Linked DNA regions of Neodiprion lecontei. The protein of the gene in region 1 purifies or fractionates together with the protein of each later gene. This does not show direct contact. Links are inferred from orthologs where the notes say so. Each region holds a gene or a part of one and is shown in the gene's direction. Other genes may lie near its edges. The genes, in order: DNA repair protein complementing XP-C cells homolog and histone H2A.

Region 1 (13,639 bases):
GCCACCCTCGGGAGGACCTCCGCGTAGCGACAAACGGAGTGATGGAGGAGCGAGCCGACGCGGCGAGGCTTCTCCGGAGGTGCGCGACCACCATCATGGTAAAATGAACGCTATCATCCGACGGCGAAGCCGGCTAATGTTTTGAACAAACAACCCTTGATTTTACGATCAATTGTAGTAAGTGACCCCTGGGCCAGGTACCCAAAACCTTTGCTTTGTATTGAACCACCGGAACGATTCCGCTTATCTAGTCTTTCTGCATTCGGTCGTTATTCTACTTAGGCCACTTTACCTCGGCATGTACAATCCGGTCATTAAGATTCAGAATTTTTAAACTTGGCTGAACTTTCTCTGTTTTAAGTTTCGATCATTCGACACTACGGTCACTCTGTACTTTTTTTACACGTGCGGTCCTTCGTCATTTGCGCGATTCCGTGGTCGTATAGGAAATTGTAAATTAGTGACACAATTTGTTTACATCTGTAGGTATTGTCGCGAAATTCAAGCTCCGTGGGAGAACCCGAATTGGTTTTTTTTAATCGAACACTGCTGGCTGTAAGAGATCCGACAACTTTCACATCTCAATGCGTATGCGATAAATAAACGTGTTAACGAAGCCTCGGTTTTTGACGATTTGTCGAAATCACTGACGTACATTATACTTTCACCGAAGTATAGTATAACCGTGAAAGGTTCCGTGTTGTGCGGAAAAGAATTAATAAAATGCACTGAATAATGTCTAAAATTTGTTTCGCGTATTCGGACTACGAGTAGTTTGAATGCATATCTACACACGCTCCGGCACCGTTTCGAGGGATATGTGTATCGATTTCCCAAGTTCATTCTTTTCCCAGAATGCCAGAGCTACTCTAACAAATTGACAGAATTTGAAGACTGAGTTGAATGATTTATATGCGATCCACTCCCGAGTCCTGCCGCCTTTTTCTTATTCTTTTACTTCTTCTTTCTCTTTTTCTTCTTCTTTGATTCAGTCGGAAAATAAAAGCATAAAATAATTTTCTTGCGCCTCCTTTTTACTGGTTCTTATTATATTTCCGTCTCGGCGAAATTTGATCCGAGTTTTATAGAAACCCTGTGATAAAACCGGTCGTGCACAGTGCATAAACTTTCGATAAATAACTGCATGTACCGTTCCACGTACAATACATTTAGTACTAAAAATCAGTGAACCGTACCGTTGACCTGCAAGAGGTAGTTTCGAACGATCCGATGTTGCGACTGGGGGGTGAAATTGTACAGAACCAATTGGGCAAGATCTCCCGGTACGCCCGGGAGATTCGACGTTCGATACGGTCAATAATTGAGCTAAACTTTTGTTCACGAAGAGCGGCGTTGTTTCGATCCAAACCGTACACCTACATAGGTCCATACGTATGCCTATCTTCAACGGACAAATACCTGATCGTGTATCTTCTGCAGGATAAACTATACGAGGCGAGGCTTTCATTGTTCCGTAGTATATATCCATCCGTATAAGATGCGCGAGGTCTCTGTAATGAAATTTTCCTCGCTTTAGTTGTTTGCTCGACGATAAATTGACGATAAATAAAAGCGTAAAATTTTTTACTGCACGTATACAAGGTAGACGGAAACACGCTCCTCGCCCCCCCCGCCCCCTCCCTTGGCTCTTCTACCTTCGGTATTATCCCAAGGGATGAACGGTGCGACACTTGTATTGCACTTGTTCTCACGAGTCGATCGCCGCTCCCGCGTGTATCCTGCGCTTGCCCGAGTCCTCGTAACCCGGGGAGGGAATCCCCTCCCTAGGGATCCGCGGCACACGCCGCACGCCACGGCCGGGGTTCCCCGCACGAAAATTCTCTACACTTGTCTAGCTGCTATTGCTCCGTTTCTGCCGTTCAGACGCGCTCGCACATGCACGCCGAAATAACGGAAAAGGGGACGCCGGCGGTCTGCTACATATGTCCTTGATTTGTCCGGAGAATAATATTCTCCTCCAAAGTTGATTAAATATTGGTTAGGTGCCTCGCCTCCTGCTCTCCACCCTCCACTTGACGCCCCGTAGGAATACAATTTAATATTTCTGGACGCCGTTCGGATTTCTACTCGGGAAATACATTCATCTTCATCGAGCTATACGTCTACAATTTACTTCGTTCCAAGCACGGTTGAGTTGGTTTTTTTTTTTTATTCATCCCGGTTTCCAGTCCACACAGGATGTTTGTTGTTAATATTAAGACGGTTAAATAATCATGATTCCGGATGACTCGGTTATAACATTGTTATATTCTACTGAAACAATTAGATAATGCAAAATGTAATTAGTAATTGTGAAAACACAATATTGTTATTGGATTGCACAAACGCACCGTTATGTAACGTTTTAATCGACGAAATAAAGAAATTTTTAATTACCTGAAAGTTGGGGGATATAAAAATCCATTTACATACACCCCTACATATATACGCACATGCCTACGCACACGTGTATTGTATAAAATATAAGCACCGTTCGCAGAAACGTATTTCAATTCTGATTGTGAGCCGCATTGCCGGCCTGAAAGCAAACACGAGCAACAAGAGGTGAAATAAAAGCTCGCAACGGAACAGCGCTACCTGAATGATATTCCCACCAATGCAGATGCATCTGTATATGCCAATAATGTTCGTTAATCAACGGATGCAGTCAATCAAACGACCGTGGCATCGCGCACAGTGTGAGGATAAATTTTTAAACGTGTCGCATGAAAAATCGCTGGGAGTCAATTTTACCATCGAAATATTCTCTGACATAATCGTCTAATGAAAATCAAATTACACAAATGTCTACTAATAATTGCTTGTGCATGAAAAAACTAATAATCAATCAACGATTAAGTTACGCATGCCTTGCATTGTACATATTCTATGTATTATTATGTATAAATTACGCTGAAAAGTGATTCACGGTTAAGTAGGTACATACCGTTACGGAACAGCATTGCGATATTAAAAGAAGCAAGAACACCTACACAGAGCCTCGACCACCCACTCGGTGGTGTAAATTCGCCCTGCAGTTGTACTTACAAAAGTAAGCGGCAAGGTCCACATAACATTAGATGATTGTAAGTTTCTAATTTAATTAAGCAGACGGAGGGGCCGTGCGCTCGACTATAATCAGTTTAGCTGCAGGAGGCAATAGGAGGGTGAGCTGAGGATGGCTGAGGGTGCCGGGGGGTGGTTGGGCGGTGTTCGGGGTGGGGGGTGGGGGGGCGTCGCGACGTCTATTCTCAGGGCCTCGCGACGCCCGAAGCATCTCTGCAGCGTTTCAGCTGGCACAGCCGTTCCCAGATTGGCTTCCGTTCTTCTGGAGCTCAGTCAAGCCTCGCCTACACAAGGATATTATGCTCCTTCGATACCTCGGAAATAAGTCCTCGATCCCTATTACTCCTGCAGATCTATCACTGTTTAATCCCGGTAATGCGTGTTGCAAACTGTGAGGCATTTCCTTGTTGGAACCGCGTCTCCCAAACACCGCGGATGTGTAGCTATATGTATTATGCAAAGTAGCATCAGCGTAGAGTCATACTGCGGTACAGGTGTAACTAATCCATCAATGCCCTGCCACTTTCGCGTATACGTCACCGGCTCATCTGAGGGTTCCACACAAATAACTATCATCATCTCGTATGGAGTCCAGTATAGTATCTGTAAAGTCGAAATTTATAATGCATTAAGCGCGGTGGAATTGTTCAATATATTATTTAGAGCACTTTAACTTTCAGTAATCCGTGGCAAATTAACAGCTAATTCAAAGTTCAAAACATGAGCTTGAAATAATTAAAGTGTTAGAATGATTCTTTCTCCCCCCTGCACAATGAAATCTTTCCAATATACGGAATCACTTATGCACCCGATCAGTTATATTTTTTAATTGATATATACTAAAAAATGTTTTGCTATAATTGCAGGATAAACGCAGACAGATTTATGATTAGAAATCGTGTTGAAAAGAAATATCGATTTCATATTGCATTCGTTGAAATCGATTAATTGTGTGTGATTTTGGCCGAGCTTTAATTATTCCGTGTATTATAAAACAATGAATAAAAACGGGAAAATTCATGCATATTTATCTGAAACTAATAAATTCGGAATCTAAAATGCCCATTTCACACTCATGATGCATGATAGAAAATTACGAACGATATCTGTAACGCGTTTCATCCAACACAAAATTCATGATAACACCACGTGGAGCCGTGATGCTGTATTATCAACATCATACCAGTAGTGATACCTGTTAAAACACGTGTAAACTAAACTTTTCGCTTGCTCGCCAAGCAACAGTCGCTCAATTTCTCATGTCGTCGTCGGTAAGAAACCTGCTCCACCACCGATCACCCGTATACCAGATCAGTGTTATCCACAACAATACAACAAGGTTGTTATTGGTTAGATGTTGAAACGTGATTAGTAGAGAGAAAGTGAGAGAGAGAGAGAGACGAAAATTTCTCAGGGTCAAACCGGTCTCATCAGAGTTTTTCGGAGAAACGCTAACCAGTTTAGGCTGATTATAATTCAACGTTCCAGCAGTTTTACAAGTTGCGAACCCAGCGAATATCCCTTCCCCGTACTGTGATGTATAATATTATGCAATCACTTTTATACCTGGAGAACCTTTGACATTTTTGCGCGCGCGCGCGCGAACAAACGACGAGCGTATTATGGCGGTCACGTGGACTGTGAGTGTCGGGTTTCGAGGTTAGTCTTTGTTTGAAATTCGTTATTAAGGGTGTTGCTGAAGTGAGAAAGATGAACGCTGATGAATCTGACAGCGAGAGCTCGGACAGTAGTAACGAGTTTATGGTAGCCCCGGATAAGCTGAAGTCAATATCACCGTTTTTCACAAAACCTACTCGAAAAACAGCGAGCGTACCAAAGAAGCTCGAAAGTTCGGAGGAGTCGGATTTTGATTACGAAAATGAATCCCACGATAACAATGATGACCTCATGGCTCAGGTCCTCAAGAACCTTGAGGCGACGAAGAAAAGTCAAGCGATTCAATCTGATCAGAGCAGCGCGGAAAAACCTGAAAATACCAAACCAGTGAAAAAAGAACTCACCAACGAAATAGCTGATCTTCTACTCTTGGGAGAAACTGGAGCGACAGCTTCAACTGCGGAGCAAGATCAGGACGAGCCGGACGAAGAAGGACCAGCTGAAGACTCCGCTCCGTCTAACTACAGCATTCCAAAAGAAGGGGTAAAAATAACCCTGGTCGATTCGAAACTGATTTTCAATCAGAGGAAGAAGAAGAAACAGGAAACGCTTGAAGATTTGTTGAAAAAGAAGTTGAATCAACAGCTTAGGTCCAATCAAGTATTGATACACAAAGTAGGACTCCTCTGTTGGATGGCGCACGGTTTTTACGTAAACAAGCAAATTAACAATCCGATATTACTTGCAGCTGCACTAAAATTGGCACCAAAAAACTGCTACCCAAAAGGCAGGGTTGATCTGTCTTATCTTGAAAAAATCACCAAATGGTTTCAAGGTGTGTTTACGTTTCCTACGGGCAAGCCAGAGTCCGGCATTACGACGCTGAATTTATTGAGGAGACTCAAAGACAAAGAGATCCACAATTATCAAGAACTCGTATTACTCTACGTAGCAACGCTAAGAGCCTTGGGGCTGACCTGTCGCTTGGTTATATCCCTGCAACCCCCGGCTCTTAAAGTAACAAAAGAGCAGCTCATCGCCCCAGAGTCTTCCAAAGTGAAAGATACAAAGGTAAAAAAGGAACCGAAAAAAGAAACGGCCACCAGAAGCCCAAAAATATCACAAGAAACGAAAATTCCTGGACAAGAAACGGAAAAAGGAAATATATCAGCCAGGCTTCGCAAAGCCACTGAGGCCAGGAGAAGGGCAGCTGAAATTCTAAAAAGAAAAAAAAGTACGAATTCAGATTCTGCGGAGGATGTTAAACCACCAGCTAAAAAATTGAGATCAAGAACGGTGGCTGCCGCGATTCCCGTTGACAAGAAGGGCAAAAGGAACTCTGATAAAGTGAAAAACGACAAAGAGGTGACTGAAAAAGGTGGAAGAAGTTTAAGGTCGCGGGCAAAAACAGCTGTCAAGCATTGGCCAAAAGATGAGGATACGGATGACGATGATGATGATGATGATGAATACAAAATGGATGATGATAAGGAGGAGAATGAGGATGGCGAGGAGGATACGGATGATGAACCATTTGAAAAAACTCACAGGTCAAAGCACAAAGCATCAGCTTCCAAGCAGCGTTCTCGCAGTCAGAATAAAAACACTGTATCTAAAATTAAAAAACAGTCAAATACAGGTTCAAGGAGAAGCTCAACCGCCAGGAAGCTGATATCGTCTGATGAAGATGATGAAGAGAATAATGAGAAGCCAAAGAAAGTGAAAAACACAAGGGATATGTGGGCAGAAGTTTACGTTGAATGCGAGGAAAATTGGATAAGCGTCAGCGTACCGGATGCAAAAATTCATTGCATTGCCGAGCTATACGTAAATATCATTCTCTTGGTCTGATAAATGATGAATCTGCAAATAGGTAACAGTAAGACACCGCTTTGATACTTGTAGAAAAATGCTACGGATCCAGTGCTGTACGTCATGGCCTTGAATTCTGAGGGTCGAATCAAGGATGTAACACGCCGATATTGTCCCCACTGGCTGACCGTGACCCGCAAACAACGGATCGATGAAAAGTGGTGGCTGGAAGCTCACACTCCTTGGAAAGAACCTGAAACAGCCTTAACAAAAGCAGAGGATGAGATGCTCAAGCAAAAGTAATGAACTGTATCTGTTTTTTGATATGTATGATACTTATCTGATTAATGTTCCATAGAAATAAATGAAAAATCATTGTTTCTTACAGGGAACTGGAACAACCCCTACCAAAGACAGTTTCGGAGTGCAAAGGTCATCCTCTGTACGTTCTGCCCAGACATCTTCTCAAATTTGAAGCCTTTTACCCGCCGGATGTCGTTCCACTTGGCTACGTTCGTGGCGAGCCTATATACTCTCGTCATTGTGTTCACACATTGCGCTCCCGCGAAACGTGGATCAAAAGCGCTAGGGTAGTGAAACCAGGAGAGAATTGCTACAAAGTTGTTAAAGCAAGACCAAAATATGATAAGGTACATCATGTTCAGTTATTACAATTGCGCTATCTTATTGATTGCAATTTGCATAATCATGCCTACACATCCCGATGGATTTCTTGTACAATGACCACACGGTGTTGATGGAAAGCTTTCAGGTGCCAGGCTGAAGGATGAGTCTCTGGAAGTATTTGGAAAATGGCAGACAGATCCGTACGTTCCACCAGAAGCCAAGGATGGCATTGTGCCTCGGAATGAATACGGAAATGTGGATTTATTCAAACAGTGTATGTTGCCTAAAGGAACTGTTCACATTCAGCGTGAGTAATCTATTAATATAGAACAACATCCGTATTGTATGTCATTGGCTACTGTTGGTATAAAAATAATACCTGTACAGGAATAACGTCAGATGTGTATTTTTTTTCTATCCAGTTCCAGCACTGAACCGCATTGCAAGAAAGTTGGACATTGATTGTGCTCCAGCTGTGGTGGGCTTCAATTTCGGAGGACATGGGGCGCTGCCTGCTTTTGATGGATTTATTGTTTGTGAAGAGTTTGAAGATGTTTTACGGGAGGCTTGGGAAGTGGAACAAGCAGAGGCAGATAAGCGTGCCAGAGAGAAATACGAGAAGAGGGTTTACGGAAATTGGAGGAAGTTGATTAAAGCTGTTTTCATCAGAGAACGACTAACAGCTAAATATGATTTTAATGCTGACGAAGAAAAAGAAAAATCCAGCACATCCAATAAGCAAACGAACAAACGGGTAAAACAAACCAAAGTTGGTGGGAAAAAAACAAAGGTTGACAAAAAAAAATAGATCATAAGTAAACGTGTCAGCTCGTTGATCGTTGCGGCACTTTTCAAAGATTACGAGAAAAATTCAATTATTTTCCTCCACACCTTTACCGCCAAAGTATTTTTAAAAGTCACAAATTACTTTTCCGTACTTCGGCATTCTATATTGTTAAATTCTATAAATTAAACTTTAAAAACTTTAAAAGTTCGATATTGTGGCCCTTATATGTTTTGATCTTTCTATTTTTTTACCCTCACCTTGTCATAGTCTGTAAATATCATTAAAAATGGTCTTTTTTTTTTACCTCAACGTCTTCTATAACTCATAGTTTGTAAAACACAGTTATCAAGTATGTATAGAAATAGCTGGGTATTGAAGAACCATGCGCCACGAATGTTTTCTTGTTCTTTTCACCAATGTGGTTTGAAGATACACCGCAAGCATCAATCACTATTGAATGCCAATTATTCGAGTGCTGCCTGTTCCAGTTATGTAGTTATATAAGCACAATAATATCAACTGGTATTCTTCTGATTTGTTTTTAGCTTGAATTTCAAACAGATTTTACAATATAACGGCTATATCTTTCTTAGAATTATGCTCAACACTTTCATTCTAAGACAATTATGCGAAATTAAGTAATATTTTGTCCGTTGTACAATCTTTCCTGAATTCATCATTGATACAGTTGACATGCTGTGTGCATGTACTTGGTATTAAACAAATAAATACATGTAATTCACTAACACCTCATATATTTCTCATATTACCACGTCTCCATAAAAATTACCCAACGACAAGAATAGCTTTAAAAAACCGCTCTTGCCTCATTACTAAGTAGTATATTTATAACTTTAACACGTATTGTGACACATGGTAATTCAGAAAACAAATGTCATTTTTGGGCTGAAAATAATGCAGGCACGGTGGAAATTTTTCCACGTGAATAGAAATGATGTTTTAAATAAATACCGTAATAGAAATGGAAAACATCAGACTAAAGAGTGTACATTTTATTACACTTATATATTCGGTCTAGAATAGTTAATAACAATTATTCATATTTCCCTATACAAATACACATACTTACACATTCTATATTTAATTAATATAATAACGAGACTAACTGCAATACGTCATCAATCGTTTACACAGCCTAATAAACTTGTAAGTAGTAAAATATCATCTAATCGAGTAACGCTTGCGAATCGCGTTCATGTATCACATAAAGTAAATTGTTTAATACAGCACGTTTTTGAAGCCAGTAACAACCCAAATACCATCAATTCTTACTAGCATAATTTAACCGTCGACACTGATTGTGTGTATTGTTATTAATGCTTGATATAAAGACTTATTGAATTATTTCACAGCTATTTCGAATAACTGACAGTTCTGAAAGCATAAATGTTTTATTAACATACTCGGAATTCGGATTCCGAATAAATATTTCAATGAGCTTTCACGCTTCTTGACTCTAATCATGAATTTATGAATTTCAAGTTTAAACTACATTGTCAAACTGTTTGATAATCTATGTATATGCACAGTACTGAGCATGCATTGAACAAGTACGCGTTTCTATTTTAGGGAGACCAAATCGACTATTTCTTTCAATATTTTCTCATATAATAATAATTTCGAGTTTGAATATTGAGTTGATGTATAGTAAAATTTATGTGTTAAATTTTATATAACATATTAAGTTTAGAGATCTATATTACTAGAGATAGAAAAATATTTTAGTGACAAGTTTGAGATTCTGGCTAACAAACAGCTCATTTAATACATTCTAAGTAGAATCCGCTTTTGGTAAATTATCTTATTCAATAGAAAATGGAATAACCGTCAGAGTTCCAATCATGAAAGTTGCCTTGTCCTCTAATTGCTTATGAAGAACAATATTTATGGTTTACTTTTTTAAATTGAAACATAACTTTATACTGTAATGAGTTCTATCCCATCTACATCAAAGTAACACAATAGTTTATCTAATACAATAGCCGCTCGATTTAATCATATGTATTTCATAAATCAAAGCAACAAGGATATATTTGATCCAAACAAAGCTTCCAATCCTTACTAAGGTGACACCATCGCGAAATTTGACTCGTTTGTAGTAAAATCGTAAGACAGTGTAATATCGATCAATGATAAGTAGAACTTACTCCAACAGTCTTGTAGAGCTGGAGGTAAAAAAAAAAAAAAGAAACGTAACATAGATTTGTTTTGGAATACCCTAATACATGTGCCGAAATATCACCATTTAGGTAAAATTGTCGAGTTCCATATTGAAGGCATCACTAGATCCGATAACTGAACGCTACTCCGAACACCTCAACTTATGATCCATGCGGCCACTTAAATGCTATATCATTTCGACCCTGAACAGTTCATTATCAGTCTTAGTACACCATTTGCTTGTAAAATCATAAAGTAACATGATTGCATATTTATATGACGGGTAGCAAACGGTTTAAGGTTGTTCAATTGAATTGAACCACTGCGACGTTACATAAGCCACCTCTAGTACCACGAACATTACATGAGCCACGACCAGTAATGTGTTTGATTGAAATGCCTTCGGTTTCACAATTCATTAATAAGAAGTAATTTAAATAATTTTACATCAGCTAAGAAGCTTAAACCACAGTCGTAAATTTCCAATTGGAAAAGATAAATAAATACCAACGAAAAGAAATGTTTCAGTTATCTCAGAATTACGTTTCTACCATATATCACAGAGCTGGCGCTTGGAAACAGAATATTCCCACCTATATCTCTTTGTTGACTAATAATTTCATTGATACATAACAACGAAAACTCATGCCTATTCTTTGTTACACTTTTAACTCAAACAACGGTATTCGCAAAATTACATAGCTTCGTACGAAATACGAACCACCCAGTATACTAATTTCCTAATACAGAATTTCAAGTTGTAAAGTTAAATTGACCTAAATACGACCAGCAAACAAGACTCGTATTTAACCTAATCCTAAAAACGTGCTAAACTAATTATACTGTTGATATCCATATCCCGTAATTATAATGCACCTCCTAGATTCCAGAATACGAAATTCCCTTGTTACCCTCTATTCGTTTCTAGATCACGAATATAATTGATTTCCTGCCATTGTAAGAATCAGTCAACACTTCAACGACTGTAGCAACTAATATATTACCCAAGAAAAACCTCACCGCTGCTTATGCGGTTTAATATTGTCTCTTGAATCCACAGCGCTCAAAGCTATTCCAAGCTGAGCTGCGTAATAGGTAATCATTATAAATACCTGAAACATATATGCTTGTATGTACATATTTCTGTTGATACGAACCGTGCAAACTTGAGAGTTACGTAACAGCAACCATTTCCTTATTTTTTGGTACCTGAGCATACGATATAGGACTGTGAAAGTAGTGGAAACCAATCAAAGCATCTGATATAACGAAGCATATACCACCGGCACAACTACACATTTTTGACCAGGTCCATAATTCCTGTTGATGAAACAAAAGGACAACATCCTTGTTATAAAGGCATGGAAGAGCCTATTAATGTTGGAACTACGTTGAATATAAAGCGTTGAAAACGTACAGCTAATTAGCAAACACTCTAATGATGTCAGTGTTAATACAGTTAATGCAGAATCAATTTACCTCAAAAAATTGCACCCTTGCTATAGCTCGCCATGCCATTGTTGTTAAAAGTATTATATACAACGGAACCCCAATCATCAAGACACCATTTAGACCAGGCATCAAAAGAAAAATAGCTGTAATTATAAACTTTGGTAAAAATGTTGGATCACACTTTGTTTTACAAATTGGAAATTGAAAGTCGGCAATGTCTTTTATATGGATCGATCAATTATGCCAGTGGGTAACATATTCTGTTGAGATGAGAAAATATTTGAAATATAATATCAGCAAAGTTTTTGTGCATTAAGCACTTCATTTAAAGTCAGACTATGAGTAATAGGAAATTCATAATCTCACAACTGATATACTTACCAACTGCACATAGGGCATATAATATTGCTCCTAACACTCCATTCAATGGAACGAAGCCAAAGGCTTTAATATAAATGACTTGAGCAATAGCAAACATTCCCATTCCTGGAACAAAGCAGGCTGGCCATACCAGCAGGGCATCACCTATACAGCTGAATAAAAGGCCAGTCACTATCCGACGAGGAAATGCATATCTGATCAGCGAGAAAGAATGAAAAGTTATTCAACGTTTCACAGTTGCAAAAATGACATATTTTTTGCATTTTACTGCTGTATCAAACTCACTCTTCAGACAAGTTAATTCCATGGAGAAGAATAAAAACGATAAGACTGATGATCGGCAAACATTTAAAACAGGCAGTTAGCAGGGAGGGCTGCTCTGCTAATAGAACAAAGTAGACAGATACACTTTTGAAAAATGGTACTAATTTCGGACCAACACTTTTTATCTGAAACAAATGTAAAAATGTTTGTTTAACGAATTCGCCTATTTCTACACTATAGTCTTGATTTTCGTTTTTTACGATTTTCTCGAAATATACTGCATATCAGATAATTGGCAAATATATTAAATAAGGGTAAAATTTTCCGACAAACTGATTGCTATTTACTTTGTAGAATTATGTTCACATTGCGAAAAATACGCTGATTTTGAAGAAAAAAAATCAATTTCTTAAACAATAAATAGAAAATTAATTAATATTATTTAAATGTAACTTTGCAATGATCTTGAGTATATTAGTATTTTAAATTCGCGATGGCATATAAGTTGTTTGACAATTATAGATACATCATAATGGTCAGAACCGTTGTTTAGAAATTTCTGAATTGGCTGAAATTGAAGGGAATACTAATTTCAATTTGCAAACTCGACTAGTGCGGTTATTCTAACAATAAGCTTGCGAAATAGCTATTTTTCCCCGATGTTTCGTTACGCTGATGTTACTTATAACTGCAACGTCGTTATAAACGCGGATGATCGCGCACGTGATATTCAAGAGCGCGCGAAAGCATAAATCAAATTAGTATTAATATTCTCTAAGTCAAAGATGTGTGTTAATTCGGTATATTTTCATCCAAAGATGTGCGCAATATTATCCGAGAGCTGAAATTTTTTGAAATTCACAACAACAACCGCGTGAAATTTCACAACGTTTTACGCCAATTACTTTTGTAAACAAATTAATCGTCGCGTGCACGTACAATGTGCGATTATAATTACCGTGAATTTTCACGTGCAAATATTGAGTCTATGTATAAATTTACGCAATAACTAAACATTAAAATTGATGTATTAATTTTGTGATTCAGACATTAATTAATATATGAATTACGTGAGGTGCAGGGTTCGATTATATAGGATAGGCATCAGTGTACTATTTCGGCAAATGTAATACCGGGGGAAAATGGAGACGAAAAATTTGGAGATATACTTCCTACACGTGCCAATGTTATTTTTGGATAAGTATACAATACTATATTGTATACATAAACGCATACGCGGATATGGTTACGTGTGGTTTTTGAACAAAGAAAATTAATTTTTATACCCAGTTAATCGGAATATTTACTGCGATCGCGAAGTTATCATCGCCAATTAAAAATGTTGTATCATATCGTTCGTCTGTTATTATCTCGTGTTTTTCTTCGAATAACGTGAAAACGATTGTGTACATATAGATATACACAATGCGGAACTTTTGGCGAAGCCATCGA
Region 2 (9,904 bases), on another chromosome or scaffold:
TACAAATGTAATTTAGAAAACGTCCAGAGAGATGTACAGAAGAATTGTGCTGGAAATAATGAAAGAAACGAAAGCGATCTATCGCGACATACACTGTTGAACCAAAATCATTCGACTATCAATACATTGTTATCGGATAAATCTCCTGTACTGTCGCAGTCAAATTATGACCATAACAACAAAGGGCCTACTTTTCAACCCTTGAATTTAAATACAAATGATAAAGATTGTAAGTCTGATATCGATGTCAAACCCCAGATGGATCAAAGTACTATTATGTCCACATTACCGTATCAACCAGTTGTAAAGTTCAGTTTAAGTGATGTCGCGCAAAAACCAATTGGTACTACTCAATTGATGCAGAGTATTAAATCGGAGGAAGTTTTGCGCACCTGCCAGAATGTCTCAAATGTTCTTTTGCAAATACCAAAATATCAAGAAAAGTTATTGAATTTCTCAAATAATGAACTCAAATCTGCATTTTGCTTTACCGACAAGTGCAATAATGTGACTGAGATTTCCGTGAAGTGTGAATCGGCTGTGTTAAATGTGCCTGATCTCAGCAAGTCCTTAGTCAAGCACGAAACTGTGAACGATAAATCATTCCTGATGCCCGAGAAACCGAAAGAGTTAACATCGATGCTGGACCTTGCTGAAAAACGAAGGAAACGTAAACGGGAGAAAACCATCGGAGCCAGTGTAAGCTCTGAATCAGAGAGTGAAGAAGATGTCAAAGATTCGGATCTGTGGATAACCAAAGGGCCGCCTTCTAAGCTTCAATGTCCTGCCAAGAAACTTTCTTTCCTCGCCATGTTCGGACTGACCACTCTTAGCACTAGAAATGGTAAGATAGTATCTCAATGGAATAAAATAATCTGTAATAATTGGATTTCAAAGGCTAACTTTGCGTCTAAAAACTTGTTAAAAAATGAACGAATTTTAGAATTTTGTTTTGATACCTTGAACTTGAAACGTATCATTTGTCTGCAATCATTTCAATTACAAGACAACCGAAAAGTAATCAGAGAATAACAGAATGTGGATTTTCAAAATTTCTTTACAGAAATGGAACTTTCCAAGGTGGAAAAACGATATAAGCTAAATCCAGAGCCACCTGTTCCACCATTGGACTCTGAACCTATACTTGAATCTCTATTACCAATTCCACGGGAACATCCTGATGTGCTTCTTCAAACTCCCGATTTTGTAGGCAAAGCTGGGTTCCTCAATATTCTCGGGCTTGATGTTATGCCTCCAACCAAGAGAGACGGTAATATACTTGTCATCTTTTTTTTTTTTGTATTTACGGAAGAACATGTGATGATAGTTTATTATTCCCTTGAGCACTATCATCATACACATTAGCGTCATTGGTGAAGAGTAAGAAATTAAATACTTTCCTTTGAATGGAAAATCACAGTCGGATCTGCAACAAAGTAATAAAGAATATGATTAAGAATCTGGATTACTTTGTTTCTTTTGCATTAACAACAATGTGTAAAACATTACAGAAGCAGAAGTAAGCTGGCAATACATTCTCAAGGATCGGAAAAAACGGAAAAGTGTCAACACAGTGACAGCTTACTGTGAAAGAATTGCCAGAGTTTATTCAAGAAATCCACCATTGTTACCAAGACCACCGCAGAAAATGCGACTACTGGACAGAGTGAAATCAAAACATTTACCAGAGCGACCACCACCGTTACCACCTTTGGTTCCAAATATAGTACCAAGGTTCCACTCTGTCCTACCCACACCTGGAGAGAATGGCGTTAAGCAACATTGCAAAATACCAGAGATTTGTCAGGCTGACGATTCGATTGATGATAAAGATGACAAGGATAAATCGAGGTGGGATGGTATCGAAGATACCATGATCGCATACATGGAATATTCAAAAGGTCCGTAATTATTATCTATAACAATCAGCTTAAATTTTAGAATCATTGCGAATGTGAATAATTGAAATCCATTATGTGAAAAATGCATACGATATCGTCAACGTGGGCCAATATGTTTTTCTAATTGATTCTATTTTCTTTGTATTTTTTTTTTTATAGAAAAATCGTTGGAGAGAACAGTCTTAGCTGCGCAAACGGCGAAACTAGCAGCACGGACAAATAATCTGAGATCAGAGGCAATCCAACTAGAAAGAAGAAGATACGATTTATTGTCCAATTGCTCCGCCCTTGAGACAGAGAGGCGATGCCTCAGCGAGCAGATAGAAAGAATTAACGCTCTTCTGAGAACCCTGAGGTAGCAATACGCGACGCACAACACGGAAACTCATTCATCTGTGATATTATCGACGGGTTAAGAGAGCCGTTGGTATCTAAATAGTTGAAACGACAAACAATTTTTTAACAATTTTAGATAAGTAAATGTAAGATTACATTGACCAAGTGTACAGCATTTTTTTAGTCTTTTATCACAGTTTACTTTATTTGTAATGAATTAAAGCTATACTGGTAGTTTTTCTAAATCCAGAAATTTTAGTTATTCGATATTTAGGCATTCTTTTACATAGCGATTGTTACATGGAGTTTAAACGTGTCTTAACCATTTCTAAAACAACTCGTAAAAAGAGTCTGATTAGAATATGCTATTTGAAAGACATGTTGAATATTGTGTATGAAATCAGAGGGGACTAGTGTTTAAAGTGTTGTAAGTAATCATATCAATATGATACGAACGTGTAAAAATGAAGTGTAAAGAAAACGAATCAAAATACAAATTTCTCTTCAATTAATAAGGAAGTTTTAGTGTTTCATAATTTTTACTGACGGCTCTTTAACCCAAGGTATAAGATAAATAATTATAATTTGTATAATATTTTATTGAATATAGAGAGAACTCATGTAACTTATTTTATTCTCTGTAATGTGGACTTGTATTTAAATATTGAAAAGGATATTCTATCATATGATTCGCACGTTTACTGATTAGTAGCATGTGTATTGATAAGATAAACATAGAAGAGAAGGATCTCAATTTAATAACTGCAAAATCGAAGATAATTGATTTTTAAACAATGCGAATATCTTTTATATTGAAGTAAAATTGTTTATCGAACATTCGCCATTTGATGAACCTCTGAAAGATACTTCTAATTTGTTGTAAGTACACCAGTGTCTTCTCGAAACGGGCACTTTTTGTGGTTCAATATTTTCCGTATGTAATAATTGAAACGCTAATAATTATTTGGAATTCGCATAATTTTTCGAACACATGTATTGCAATTTGTATAAACTGTAGACTCAACCATTGAATAAGAATAATAAGAACCTCCTTCAATTCTATGTTGAATACTTACAATAATAATAATAATGTCTGCAATGGCCAGTGAATTTCAAAGAAGTGAAAAACGATGTTGAGGTACTTAACAAAAAACAAGGTTATAAAAAAAAATGACTTGACTTTTACCACAAAATTGCGTGAGTACATTCCATGAAAATGCTTGTTACCCGCTAAACCTTTAACATTCCATGTATTGAACGGACCTTGAAAAAATATGAGTAAACGTGAAATAACATTTTTATTTAATATCATCCATTTCTTGGCAGACCGTAATTATTATACTTCACCTGGGTCCTATTTAGTTCTTTCTTTCTTGTTTTCACATTTTCGAATAATTTGGCGTACTGATTCAAATCTCTCATTGTGCTCTCTAAATTGATTATCTCCTTGCTCCGTATAATGTAGCATCATATCTACCCGCCTTCCCTGTTATAACCCGCAAATCAATTTTGTCTGTGTTTTCAACGTTTTGTTCATTGAGTGCCTACATTTGTAAATATCATTATTTTTATGTATTGTGTAATATTAAGGCATCTGTAGAAATCTGCAGGTACCTTTCTGGCCAGAACAAGAGCCTAAAAGTAAACTGTTCGAAAACACTTTGTCTGCCTCCTTTATCTCCCTTTTATTAAAAGTTAATTGTAAAATATTAAAGTAGTCTTTGAAATTATCTTATAAATTCTTATGAAAAGAAATCAGTCGAGAAGGTAATTCACCGTACATAATATGTATATTTTCGGTCGACGCTTTATGTAGTCAGTTTTTTTGTTTTTAAATCTTCCAATTGCCATAATTGAAGCATAAATTATATGTATCCATAAATACAAGAAAGCTTTTTCAAATGGTGCGTTTTATTTGCGAGTCTCATAAAAATAGGAGAGGACAAGGACGACGTTCGATTGGTTTAATTCTAGATACTAACCAATGAGGTAACGCTTCTCATGCTTTTTTGTTTTCAAAGTATGGTGCTGCCATCTGTCGGAATGAAATAATACGAATTCCACAGCCTTCCGTGTCAAAAAATTTTCCCGCGCAAACGAGCGCTATCAAGACAGTGGGCGCCAAAATACGTGACATCCGACATCATTTGCTGTTCGGTAACGGTAGGAAGAGGTTGCAGTTGTGATTAGACTTTCTATCCGTGTAGAATCAATCTCGAAATATGTCCGGTCGTGGTAAAGGAGGTGAGTAGTATCAAAGCTTCCGAGAAATAATTAGCCAGATTCTCGAACAACAGGACGCATTAAAAGTTTCTTATTGATTTTTAAAGGCAAGACCAAGGGAAAGGCGAAGACTCGCAGCAGCAGGGCTGGGCTTCAATTTCCCGTAGGTCGTATTCACCGGCTCCTGAGGAAAGGAAACTATGCCGAACGTGTCGGAGCCGGTGCTCCGGTTTACCTAGCTGCGGTCATGGAATATTTGGCCGCCGAAGTTCTCGAGTTGGCTGGAAATGCTGCGAGAGACAACAAGAAGACGAGGTTAGTCCTATCAGCACCCTTATTTTCACAACCACAATACCATAGTTCAGAAGTATAGACAACCCACAGATTACTCCTTCATTTTCTCTTATTCACTACAATTTCTTCACTGTATAATATGATAAATCTCAACCAAAGTAGGTTTAACATTTCTTACGGAATCGAGCAGAATTTGCGTCGTTATTATCGCGTGCCGTGTTTTTCCTCTGTTTCGGTACAATCATTTGTCTCCTATGAAGATACATTGAACATACATTGTACACATGAAGAACTGCTTTGAAATTAATCCTAATAACAGTACAGTGTGTAATAATTCGTGTGATAAAATTGGTGTATGTATGAATGTATTTATACGTGAACATGGCCGAACACTTCCATTTCAACCTAATGCAAAGAAACTTGTTTTTGCACCAACCAAACTCTCCCCCTTCTCCTAAATCACTATGACAATCTACACGTTTTCTAAATGGAATTCTCGATTTGGGAAAACAGTACCCGATTTCATGTAACTGAACTATGCGTACACACAGATATTTGAAAAATCCTGCAGTCAGACGTACAACATTTACTTCAGGAAATTGGATTTATTGACCATATTTATGTTTTATTTTACAGAATAATCCCTCGTCACCTCCAACTAGCCATTCGTAATGATGAAGAATTGAACAAACTGCTTTCTGGAGTGACTATTGCACAGGGTGGTGTTCTGCCCAACATCCAGGCAGTTTTATTGCCTAAAAAGACTGGAAGTAGCAGTGGATCTGGCAAGGGAGACAAGGCCTCTCAAGAATACTAAATTAAGATATTACATTAGTGCGAGCACGAACTTACATTTGACCTTATAAAACCTGACAATTCAATGCAACACATTTATTTACATTCACTAAAAATTGGCAAGATCAGATGTTTAAAAGCACTGAACAAAATTGCAAGTTGAATTTATTTTGTTTCTTTTTTTTCAGTATTGAATAAATGAATCGCGTTATGTGTATGATTCATTGTATGATGCTTATGTTTGACGGCATCCTTCGTTTTTCAAACTGTTTTTTATATTTATGTATTAATTTTTGCCATTGTATTATTTCGCGAATTTTTTTGTTTCAATTTTGATAAGTGAGTAGATCAAAGGTGACAAACAATAAATGGCCTGCAGCGTTATCATAATAATACTAACTTTTATTGACCTGATAACTGATCCCACAGTATGACGAATTGGTGGGAACATTTCTTGAAAATTGTACCTATTTGTACATACATAAGCGATATCTTGACATGGAAAAATAACCCGAACGAAAAATGACAAGCGGTTTCAATAATTGTGTAGTGTTTTTGGTTTGTCTCGTCACTTTTTCATCTTACCGCAATTTCAGTAGCCCAATTATTTCTGATAATTTAGAGTGTAGACTATATTCAAGAAAGAGTGTTTTGATTATAACATCAACAAGCATGCAGCTTATACTCTCGTATTTATTATTTGACGTATGCAGCACACAATTTTTTAAGTCCAGGGATATCAGGTTTGATCATCATAAATTTTCAAAGAACCGAATAAAGAATTAATTTACAATCAGATTCAAGCTTCGAATCGACCATTCATTCAAATTGATCAAAACGTTTCTCTGTTGACTCAAGGCTCCAAAATTGTAACTTTTGGTCGGGACTGTAGAAACCGTTCACAATCGTGTAGTACGTGAAGTTTGTAATACCAGGAATAACTAATAACAGTCCGCAATATTCTTCAGACGAAAATATCGAAACCAAAGTACAATTCTTCATTGGTACAATCATGAGCACGCTTTATGCCTATAAGCTACTTCCGCCTCCGCTAGCAGACCATTTTAATAGTTCGTGGCTTGTAGCTGTATGTCAAAGTGTTCGTGCGACATGACATATGATTTTTAACTCAGCGTCCGTTAGTAATATTATATCTAGCCACTAATTGTACACTTAAAAATTCAGCGATGTCTTCGTCAGACGTTTCGATGCTCGTAGATATGGGTTTCAGCCAGGCAAAAGCGTGAGTATTGACAGAAAATAATCATCTTGTGATTCCTAACCTCTTCCGAAAAAGCCGGAATCATTTTTGCAGATTTTAAATACCCTACCACCCTCAGTTAAATAATCACTGTATTTTTCATTCGTGTGTTTTCTGTATTTGTTTTTCAGCGAGCGAGCCCTACAAATTACCGGAAACAAAGGTGTCGAGCCGGCTATGGAATGGTACGAATGAAAAACAATTTGTCTTCATCCTACTGATTAAATATTGCAAATTTTTTTAGGCTCCTTGCTCATTCCGATGAAGCTGAACCTTCCCCTGGGCTTATGGCCGAAAATCCTGTCAGTATACCCGTACCAGCAACTGAATCTCCACAGGAAAATATCGCTGATGCAAGTAACGAAGATGAATCAGCAGCAACTGCCAAATCCATTAAATGCGATGTGTGAGTATTAATGGTTGCATAAATTGTTATTTTCGTGCATTATAATGTCTGATTAGTTTTTATCTCCTCATCTTTTCAAGAATGCATGATACAAAAGATTAATTAGAAAAGAGTTCCTTCGATCAATGGCCCTTCAGGTCACTTTGTACGTAATGAACATGCAAAGGAATTTTTTCACAGATGTGGGAAACTATTCAAATCTAATTTAGAGGTGGAATTTCATGCCACAAAGTCCGGACATGACAGTTTCTCTGAAAGCACGGAAGAGAAGAAGCCACTGACGGAAGAGGAGAAGAAAGAGCAATTGAGGTTATTAGAAGAAAAAATGAGACAAAAGAGAAAAGAGCGAGAGGAACTGGAGAAAAAAGAAGCATTTGAAAAGGAGAAATTGAGGATACGCTCAGGCAAAGAGATGGTCGAAGCCAAGAAAAAGTAAGTATCTTCAGTTTATTTATTGTAGGTTAAAGAACTGTTGCTCATTTGATATAAGAGAGATGAAATTGATCCTAATGACTTTGGTCTTAATAGAAAAACGCTCGTTATTATCGACTTGAATTGGATTTAATTGCATTTAATTAGCTTGGAATTTCATCAACGTTGTATTGTTAATTTATGTGATGGTACTTTATTATTTCATAGGCTTGAAGACTTGGAAATGAAGAAATTATTAGAGCAACGGAAAAGGGAAAAAGAAGAGGAGAAATTAGCAAAGCAGAGAGTAAGAGAGCAAATCGAAGCTGACAAAGCAGCAAGACGTGCTAGAGCCGCCTCTGACGCTGGACGTGTTACACTTTCCCCTGTAGCTTCGATTGCTGCGCCAACCGTCGTATCAACGGGTCCAAAAAAAAATTATAGCGAAACAAAATTGCAGGTGATTGATACACTGATTCTCTCTTTGGCTTGTTTGAAACTACAAGTATATTAAATAACATCATGTGTTATTTATGAAACACGATACTGATTAAAATGCAGCTTGAATTATGTATTTTAGATCAGACTAACAAATGGTCAGGCATTAACACAGACCTTTGGATCCAAGGAACAGCTTTCTGCTGTACGATTGTATATTGAAATGAATAGAACTGATGGTTCGGGGTTGTTTAATTTAATGACTACATTTCCTCGGAAAATTTTCACAGAGGACGATTACGAAAAACCATTGGACATTTTAGGTAAGTGAATCTTTGTATGGGAAGCCAGTAGTACGTTTTGTCAATTGTTACCAATTATGTATTGAATTATTTTTAGGCTTGGTACCGACAGCTGTTGTGATAGTACAGAAGAAAACGGAATTACAGTAGCAGAAATTAGTGTTTTAATGGCATTATAAACTGCGTAATGCGATTACAATTTGACAAACATTAATACTAACTACATAAAATAATGTAAATTAAAGCACTTTAATACTATAAAATTGTTATTCATACCATTCATAGACCACTATTTGTAACGTTGCTGTAATACGTACATTCAATCATTCTGTAACTGGATTTTAACTTGGCACATCAATCAATTTTGAATTTCTTGTAATAATGTATGAGCATGAGATAACTCGTTTGGATTACCTGTTCACCAAACAGCTCTTTGGGTACTTGAAAAAGTGCATATAATAGATACAGTACATTTTTTTTTATTCCAATATGTATAATTTTTCTAGAAAAAAAAAAATAAATAAGTTATGCTTTTATCAGTCACTAGTTTCCTGTCACAAAACTTGACACTGAAACATCGTATTTTCTTCGAGTTACATTATAACATTACATTAGTTAAGTTGCTAGATATTTCTGGGTTGCTGTATAATGGCAATAGACAAAATTACACTCATAATACATTATACAATTTTCAATTTGCCTAGTTTGAACATATTGATTACTATTTTACTAATATAACATTGTAATTGGATGGAACTGCACTGGGATAATTCACTGGCTTCTTCCGATCACAATTTGAAGGAAAGTCAACGATGTTGTTACAATCAGTCAGCTTCAAGCCTTTATCCAGGCAAATCCGTATTTCGAATATGTAAGATTCATGCGTTTTCTACAATGTAATAATATAATATATGTAGAAATAACATTCGTTTCAGACACAATTTTCGGCTATCATGTCAAGTAAGGATGTAGAGATTTTGGTATTCCAATAATTATATCTCTGTCAAAAAGAAACTTAAATATTTAAAAACAGAAAATTGTTGCATAATCTGACGATAACTTAAAATATCAACGATGGTACAAAACATTGAATGAAATTAATATTAAAAAGAAAGTCTCACCGGATTTTTAATACACTCGACCTCAATAGTTTTTCCTAAAATCTTTTCCACACCACTAATGATTTGCTCTACGGCATAAGCTTGACCAACGAATATTCCTGCCTTGGCAAGCACATGAGTCATGTCATATTCTTTCAACAGATCCAATCCTTTTTGAAAATATTTCAATTCTGTATTCAAAGGATCAAGGACGGATGCACAGGTACCATGTTTGTCCCACTCATGTTTCCAGAATGAAAAGTGTGGTGTTCCATCTTCAATGTTTATCCATTTCTCATCCAACTGATGAATTATTGGGATTAAAGTAGACGCATTAAAACCCTGTGTCTTATTGCAAAAAAGTGGGCCAATTTTGTGGAACTGAGTAGGCCAAATTCCATGGATTGTCCACTCCTCTTGCCTTGGTAAAAAGCAAC

The links.
Region 2: the proteins of DNA repair protein complementing XP-C cells homolog (region 1) and histone H2A purify together in Homo sapiens (affinity purification with mass spectrometry; 3 studies listed by BioGRID and IntAct, counting the BioPlex papers as one, with this or other methods). This does not show direct contact. The link is inferred for Neodiprion lecontei from reciprocal best matches to the Homo sapiens genes XPC and H2AX.

What each region holds. Positions count from the first base shown.
Region 1 is NC_060265.1:3,466,052-3,479,690, forward strand, and holds DNA repair protein complementing XP-C cells homolog, read left to right. Parts: upstream 1-4,541; 5' UTR 4,542-4,776; coding exon 4,777-6,510; intron 6,511-6,588; coding exon 6,589-6,794; intron 6,795-6,883; coding exon 6,884-7,145; intron 7,146-7,260; coding exon 7,261-7,429; intron 7,430-7,544; coding exon 7,545-7,930; 3' UTR 7,931-10,130; downstream 10,131-13,639. Other genes in the region: lysoplasmalogenase-like protein TMEM86A, read right to left, coding at 11,107-11,202, 11,300-11,410, 11,570-11,685, 11,924-12,117, 12,209-12,372. UniProt on the Homo sapiens protein: Involved in global genome nucleotide excision repair (GG-NER) by acting as damage sensing and DNA-binding factor component of the XPC complex. Has only a low DNA repair activity by itself which is stimulated by RAD23B and RAD23A.
Region 2 is NC_060262.1:40,431,388-40,441,291, reverse strand, and holds histone H2A, read left to right. Parts: upstream 1-4,321; 5' UTR 4,322-4,459; coding exon 4,460-4,481; intron 4,482-4,567; coding exon 4,568-4,775; intron 4,776-5,390; coding exon 5,391-5,571; 3' UTR 5,572-5,942; downstream 5,943-9,904. Other genes in the region: uncharacterized protein LOC107223647, read left to right, coding at 1-844, 1,064-1,270, 1,512-1,901, 2,061-2,260; UBX domain-containing protein 1, read left to right, coding at 6,737-6,792, 6,942-6,995, 7,055-7,216, 7,397-7,648, 7,856-8,087, 8,208-8,388, 8,465-8,517; ribonuclease Oy, read right to left, coding at 9,089-9,256, 9,489-9,904. UniProt on the Homo sapiens protein: Variant histone H2A which replaces conventional H2A in a subset of nucleosomes. Nucleosomes wrap and compact DNA into chromatin, limiting DNA accessibility to the cellular machineries which require DNA as a template.